Linked DNA regions of Caenorhabditis elegans. The protein of the gene in region 1 interacts with the protein of each later gene in a pairwise test. Each region holds a gene or a part of one and is shown in the gene's direction. Other genes may lie near its edges.

Evidence for each region.
Region 2: the proteins of F23A7.3 (region 1) and rab-6.2 interact in a two-hybrid assay, tested with the Caenorhabditis elegans proteins (one large-scale study listed by BioGRID).

Annotation. Positions count from the first base shown.
Region 1 is NC_003284.9:16,218,056-16,221,982, forward strand, and holds the start of F23A7.3 (Crinkler (CRN) family protein), read left to right. Parts: upstream 1-1,954; 5' UTR 1,955-1,960; coding exon 1,961-2,113; intron 2,114-2,930; coding exon 2,931-3,068; intron 3,069-3,710; coding exon 3,711-3,761; intron 3,762-3,813; coding exon 3,814-3,927.
Region 2 is NC_003284.9:17,220,525-17,224,451, forward strand, and holds the start of rab-6.2 (Ras-related protein rab-6.2), read left to right. Parts: upstream 1-1,950; 5' UTR 1,951-1,954; coding exon 1,955-2,015; intron 2,016-2,075; coding exon 2,076-2,188; intron 2,189-2,240; coding exon 2,241-2,346; intron 2,347-2,672; coding exon 2,673-2,784; intron 2,785-3,375; coding exon 3,376-3,530; intron 3,531-3,579; coding exon 3,580-3,650; 3' UTR 3,651-3,927. UniProt on the Caenorhabditis elegans protein: The small GTPases Rab are key regulators of intracellular membrane trafficking, from the formation of transport vesicles to their fusion with membranes.

The DNA of each region.
Region 1 (3,927 bases):
AAAAAGTGCAATACGTGTAAAAGCTATACGTTTTAGATGTTGGAGAATCTTACACAATGGCATTGCACAATAATGCAACAGCCTGGCCATGTATAGTTTTGTGATTGACGTATAATGCAATTTGCATTGTTTTGTTCAATGATTTTTAAATTTTGGATGGCATATTTTTTCATATTTTTTAAAATACAGTTCGGAAAATTGACTTTGCATAAAAGAAAGTCACTACCCGTTTTGTTCAATCTTTTTGGGTCAGAGCGCTTGATGAACGACTTGTATACATCAACCGGTTCCTTATCAATACCTTCAGTTATGTTATTGCTTCACAAAATCTACTGCAAGTAGTTTTTGTGGGAAATTGGTCTGAGCTTCATACGTCACTATTCCCGTTGCTCTTTTTTTGCACCGCTAAAGCACATGTCTGCGTCTCTCACATGTCACATGTTTCTGAAGTCTGAGCGAGCGTCTGTGCCTCTCACTGAACACTATCTTTTTTGAGAAGCAGCGTAATGAAAAAAAATTCAATAGCTGCTGCATATCAGTGAGTGTGTCAGCTAATAGGGCTTCACGCGTTATTTCATCTTTTCATAAAAAGTTTCCCAGTGACTTCGCGGGATATGTTTAATTTTTTGAATGTTTTCCTCCTTTATTAATTCAGTGAAAAGCTCAGTTAATTTAAGCCACATTGTGTCATGCTGTCCCATTACGGTTTTATCTACAAAAATTGCGGGAATTTTTCTCCAAAAAAATGTGACGTCGGTACGTTCTTAACCATGCGAAATCAGTGGAGAAGTCTGCTTATAAATTCTGCCTTCCAATTCTCGTAGATTTACGTAGTTCAAACCAAAATGGGACACTCTGACCCTACGTGCTACGTTGTTAAATGCAACCTCGTTTGACGACTAATTGCGTATATATACAGTGCTGGCCAAAAAGATATCCACTTTCAGTTTTTTGACAATTTCGATATTTTTTCCAATGGGCATAACTTCAAAACTAGGAAAGGTATCAAAAAATTTTCAACTGGTAAAATGTAGCTCGTGATCAGGCCTATGTATTTTTACATGTTGCAATTATTCATCCATCACATGGCAAGTAATAAAGCGGCGGGCATCTCGTGAGTCCGTTTTTGACGATGATTACTAAAACGACTGTAACTCAAGAAACATATTTTTAATGAAAGGTTTGAGAAAGTAACAAAATGTTTATTTAATTTTTCATTGTTTGAACATATCAACTTTGTCCTAAAACCTCCATTTAAAAAAATGTGTGCGCTGAAACTAGTGTCTCATTAGACACTGTTTAGAGGCTTTGTTCAAAAATCAGGTTTCTTGGATTGAAAATCTTTTTCCGACAATTTTTGTGAAGAACTGATGTTGTTATTATATTTGAACTACATATTAACCAATAAACAGAATTCAGAAAAAAAAATCTACTATTTTTGAGAAATGAGCTCGATATTACTCTACACTTCTCTTCTTTAAACTCTCTTGTCTTTTTCAATGGAGGTTTCAGGACGAAGTTAGTATGTTCAAACAATAAAAAATTATATAAACATCGTGTTACTTTCTAAAAACCTTCCATTAAAAATATGTTTCTCGAGTTACAGTCGTTTTAGTAATCATCATCAAAAGCGGACTCACGAGATGTCGGCCGCTTTATCACTTGCCATGTTTTGGGTGAATAATTTAATCATGTAAAAATACATAGGCCTGATCACGAGCTACATTTTACCAGTTGAAACTTTTTTGATAGCTTTCCTAGTTTTGGAGTTATGCTCAATGGAAAAAATATCGAAATCATCAAAAAACAGAAAGTGGATATCTTTTTGGCCAGCACTTTATATATATATATATATATATATATATATATATATATATGTATATAATTTATTATGGGATACAATACTAAATGAAAAGTACGTTATATACATAAATACGTAATATTTTTAATTCAGCAAAAAATGGTACGAATCATTTGCAAAAGAAAAACGGCCGAGGACAAGCCAAACGCATTTGAATTCAAAAAAGTCAACAAAGGTCTAACTTCTCCCAGTGATGGCCCTTTTGTCATAGCACATTTTCCTAAAAACATGATTTGGGAAATTGACCAAGAGGTAATTTTTTTAAAGAGGATTAGCGCCAGTGGGGAAATTGCTTCAAAACATGCCTATGGTACCACAATGACCAAATATCACAGTTAAAAATTTGAAATATTTTTTCTAAATTTTATATTATTTTTCGAAAATCAACAAAAAAAACCCAAATTGCATCAAATCCCCATTTGAATTACCGCCAATAGTTCGATGCTCGATAGAGCGCGCTTGCCATTTTATTAAATTTTTTATTCATCAATTTCTCTCATTTTTGACTGATTTTTCATGTTTTTTCTAGAAATTTTACTGGAAATAAATTGAAAAATTCAAGATAATTGTAATTTTTTTCATTAAAAAGCGGGCGCTAAAGCCTAAACCTGTGAAATAGATTTGTTCAGGCTAAACGTCGTTGAAAAACGTTCTTTCTTTGTTTTCAGTTATTTTCAGTGGACAATCTACATTTATCTTGAATTTTTCATTGAATTTCTAGTAAAATCACACAAAAAAACATGAAAAATAAGTCAAAAATGAGAGAAATTGATGAATAAAAATTAAAAAAGGCAAGCGCGCTCCATCGAACATCGAACTATTGGAGGTAAATCAAATGGGAATTTGATGCAATTCGAGATTTGTTCATTTTTCAAACAATCATATAAAATTTAGAAAATTTTTAAAAATTTTTTTACTATGATTTTTGGTCATGGTCTTTGTGGTACCATAAGCATCTTTTAAAGCAATTTTTCCAATGGCGCTACTCCATCTTTAATTATCAAGAACTGGTCGGGTTCAGTAATCAAAATTGACCCACTATCTTTCAAAACAAATTAAAAATTTTCAGACATCAAACGAAAAGTACATTGCGTATTTCCCAACAATAGTTTCTTCGCCCGATACAAAGCGACTGATGGAAAATGATCAGCTGAAAATGTTGTATGAGAAACTTCGCGATCACAAATCCGGCCCACTGAAAACACAGGTTTTTTTGCTTTTTTTTTTTTGAAATGAATTTTTCTCATTTTCGGAATTATTTTGTCAATTTTCTCTGGAGCTGGAAAATCCGACGTCGTCGGTTTTTACAAATTTTAAATTTTTCCGATGTGTAGGTTTTCACGTCGCCCGACATTTTGCGAGTTTGGTTACTCATTATAAAATTGAATAGAGCTTATGAGTATAGTGAGTGGCTAAACTCGGAAATTGTCGGCAGACTTGAAACTCTTCTTATTGGTATATTTTCAAAATTTTGAAAACCGGACACCGTACGTCCGGTCCGGACGTTGTACGTTCAGATTTGCGACCCCTAAATTTTTCATTGAAAATATACAAAAAATATAAAAATTCCTTTTTCGTGGAAAAGTGTGACCCAAAAGCGTAAAAAAGAAACCAAGATAGAAGCAGAGCCAATTTTTCAAAATAATTATACTTTTTCATGAATTGGAAATAATCATAATAAAACGAATCTTTTAGATAGATTAAACTAGAAATAGTCGAATTTGAAATTTTAACAGTGCATTCTCACACTACTTCCGAGGGCTTTAAAATTGCTCCAAAAGTAAACTTTATCAAATTTTAAAGAAAAAAACGGGAATTCCAACAATAAATTAATTATGTATGTTTTCAGATCGATGGGACAAATTTTGTGGCAGTTGAACAAGATGCTGAGCCACACCAGGTTAGATATTTGTTTCTTTCTCGATTTGTTTGAAATTTTAATGCTTATGTAGATCGAATCGATTCAATTGCTACCAAATGGCAATCTGAAATTATATTGGCCTGTTATATGTAGAGATGAACTGGAAGAAGACACAAACAAAGAATTTAATGAAATGAAAAAAGAC
Region 2 (3,927 bases), 1.0 Mb from region 1:
AAATTTTGGCAAAACTTTAATTATCGTTTTTAAAATAACGAATAGAGATATCACAATGAACTTAGATACAATGGATAGGCATTGAAAAGGAGAACTTAAGTTTCGAGTCTCAAACGTTTTGAACATAAACTCGAATTTTCCTTCAATTTAAAGTGGTTTTCGGCCAGTACTTCGGTGTGCGCAAAAACAAGAGGGTGTGGTTTTCCGCTTGTGGAGCCGACAGGATGCTCCAAAATCAACCCCCTTTTAGATGAACACACGTCGCTATACTTTGTGAATGTAGAGAAAAAAGAATTTCAAAAATCGGTTCCGTGAGAGCCGAGATATAAACGTTCAAAGTTGTATTACACATTTTTCGGACATTTTTTGAACATTTTTTGAACACCGAAAACGCGTGTGTGTGGCAAGATGGGGGTTTTAGGAAGGAGGCAGACAAAAAAATTTGCCGAACGGAAGAGCCTCTCGTCCCTAGTCTGAATCTCACTGTTTGAATTTTGTTTAGACATTTCCCAGAGTTTGGACATGAATCTAATGACGATTCAAGTATCGTTTTCATTTTTTTTGCAATTCAAGTTAAAACATAATAAAACCAATCACGAAAATGCCTCCTACGCATTTATATCAAATTATGACTCATTTGGTCTCCTTCAGTGGAAATTAGCTATTTAAAACGGTGATTAAAATGCTTGAAAGTAAACCAAAAAAAAGTCATAAATGTTTTGAAGTGTTTTTTTTTAATTTTTACGTCTGTTTTCTTTAAATAATTTTCCTTTAGACTTGTTTAGATTGCTAAAAATGGATTAGGCACATTTTCCAAAGTTCATGGCACAGCTATAGCGAATTGAAGTTACTAATTAGAGTTTTAATATTATTATTTATGAAACAAATTTTTTAAGAACACATATTTTCTGTGAAGAGTTCATTTTAAAATTAGCTATCCATTTGAATATTGTTTTACGATTGTTTGCCGAAAATTATTCCAAAAGTTCCGAGACTTTTAGTTTCTATAGTTCGGATTATTCTGAATTCTGAACTAAAATTTTCAAATGTACAACTTTTCATGTTAATTCAAAAAATGACTCGTTTGCGCTGCTTTTGTGACAGCTGCATATTTGAAACACTGATAAAACTACGTTTTTTATTTAAGTCTGCAAAAATTGAAGTTAAAAAAATAAATCTTTGTTTTGGAAAAAAATTCAGTATTAGTATTAAATATTTCGATTTTTAACTGTGTACTTTTTTCTTTTAAAACCCTCTTTTTTTAAAATTATTTTTTAAAATAATTTTTGTATTTAATAACAGATCAGGCAAACAAATTGTTAAGAATTAATAGAAATTAAACTTCTGAGCTGCAGTTTCAGATTTGTTTGAAGTTATTGAACAAAAATCAAAATTCCGAAACGTTAAGTTGACCTCTATTCAAAAAACAAACAAAACTCCCTCATCTAAACGTGTTGTTATGGTCAGTGCGCAGTGCGCAGGTGTGGATTTACGAGCGGCCGAGGGGTCGGGTCTCGACGGGAAACCCCTTTCGCCTGAGTCTCTGCCCCTGCATATCGCTACGTGGTTGACCGGCTGAGAGGGGGAAAGTGTTCACTGCATAGCATATTTCCGTTTTCATAAACCTTTTACGGTTTAAATTCATCAGTTTTAGCTCGTTTCGCTTCAAATTTCTCATTTTCGTCTCCTTTTTTTTTCGTTTTCTACTGCTCAGTTGTTCGTAAAGCGAGGAGAGACAATCGATGAGAAAAAGAGACACAGATGCGGCCCAAATGTTGCATTTCTCCTCTTTTCCGTGCCTTACACCCGTTCTCCTATCGATTTTTGTCCCTGCGTGGCAGTGACCACATCTCTTCCGTTATTTTGTCTCGTGTTCGTGTTCCTCTTGCGAGAAGTTTCATTTATAATTTTTTTAAAATAAAACTTGATTTAATTTTAGAAAAATTACAGAAAAATGTCGGACTTTGGTAATCCGTTGAAGAAATTCAAGCTTGTGTTCCTCGGGGAACAAAGTGGTGAGTATTTTGATTGAAATTCTACCGTAGATATTGAATTCTCAAGTTTCTAAATTTCAGTCGGAAAAACCTCCCTAATCACTCGCTTCATGTACGACTCCTTCGACAACACCTACCAGGCCACCATCGGAATCGACTTCCTGAGTAAGACCATGTACTTGGAGGACCGAACCGTAAGAAATCAGTTTTTGCGTAAAGAAATGATTTCAAAATCCGTAATTTCAGGTTCGTCTTCAACTTTGGGACACCGCTGGACAGGAACGTTTCCGCTCACTCATCCCATCCTACATCCGTGATTCTACAGTTGCTGTTGTGGTTTATGACATCACCAGTAAGTTTGGAAGAAGTTTTTCTGATGTTTCATGCTGTAAAGCTTCACACTGGATCCTCTGGGAGAAATTTTTTAACTATAGTAGTGTATATAGTAGTAACTATAATAACTATATTGGTTTAATACTACAATAGTCACTGGCAGCTCTAATGCGAAAAGCTTCTAGCAAGAAGAGAAGCTCAAAAAACAATTTATATTGATAGAAAAGTTAGAATCCAAAAGGAAACCATTATTTTTTGTTTAATCTTGATTTTGAACTAGGGTGGGCAATGAAAAAACTCTCGGTAACGACAAAAAAGCTTCATTTAACCCCAACTTTTTTGCAGACTCCAACTCTTTCCATCAAACTTCCAAGTGGATTGACGACGTCCGTACTGAGCGTGGAAGTGATGTAATCATCATGTTGGTCGGCAACAAGACCGATCTTTCCGATAAGAGGTTCGAATGAGAGTTTCCGCTAAAAATTCAATTAAATTGTGTAGTGGAAACGGCGGAATATGCATTTAAGTAGCTCCAGGCTGAAGTTTTAATCGGCATAACTTTCAGTATGAAATCTTGGCTAGCTTAAAACCTTCTCTAAAGATATTGTTTGGAGATAGGAAATAGCTTTAACTGAAATTACGTTAACATAAATTGGATCTGCACTAACTTGAACTAGCTTCAACTGGACCTACCTCAAGTTTATTTTTTATAATCAGAGCCTACGCTTTTCAAGCCCAAGCTCTCTATCTCCAGCTCATCCTTAAACACAATTCAGTTGAACCTACTACATAAGCTACATAAGCTGAATCTCCCATAATTTGATTTTTCCTGAGCAAAATCTACGTTACATTAGGCTAAAAATGCGCATTCTAAACAGAATTAGTTCAAGCTAAACTTACCTTGCGCTGGCCTGTTTCGAGCTGATCTTGCGTGGTCTTAGCTGAACTATCTTTTTCTGAAACCTGTTAACCTAACTAATAAACTCAATGTGTAATGCTCCAGGTCTATTAATTTGTAACTGACATAAGACTTACATATTTTGTTCAGGCAAGTCACCACCGACGAAGGAGAGAGAAAGGCCAAGGAGCTTAATGTGATGTTCATCGAGACTTCTGCCAAGGCCGGCTACAATGTGAAGCAGCTTTTCCGTCGTATCGCCGGAGCCCTACCAGGAATCATCAAGGACGACCCAGTGGAGCCACGTAAGTTTTAAAAACCTTTTTAACTTCAAAAAGCCATGATTTTTTTCAGCAAATGTGGTCACGATGGACCCAATCCGTCAGCGTCAAATTGTCACCGACGAGGGATCGTGCTGGTGCTAATCTCTTTGTATTCCTGAGCAAAATGTCAAAAAAAGGTTGTGATACTCCAATCTCAACGCATAATTTATTTAAAGCATCCTCCGCCCCCGTAATGGTTTTGTCATGAAGAAATATTAATTATCCCCCTTAAAAGCGCTATCGCCAGTAAGTTTTGATATCTTAAAATTCCCCAAAAACATTATCGATTTTTTCTGTGTGAATGAACTCTGAATGGCTTCTTCTCTATTAACTTATGCGATGGTAAACATGTGTAATTTTCTTTGTAACATAATAAATT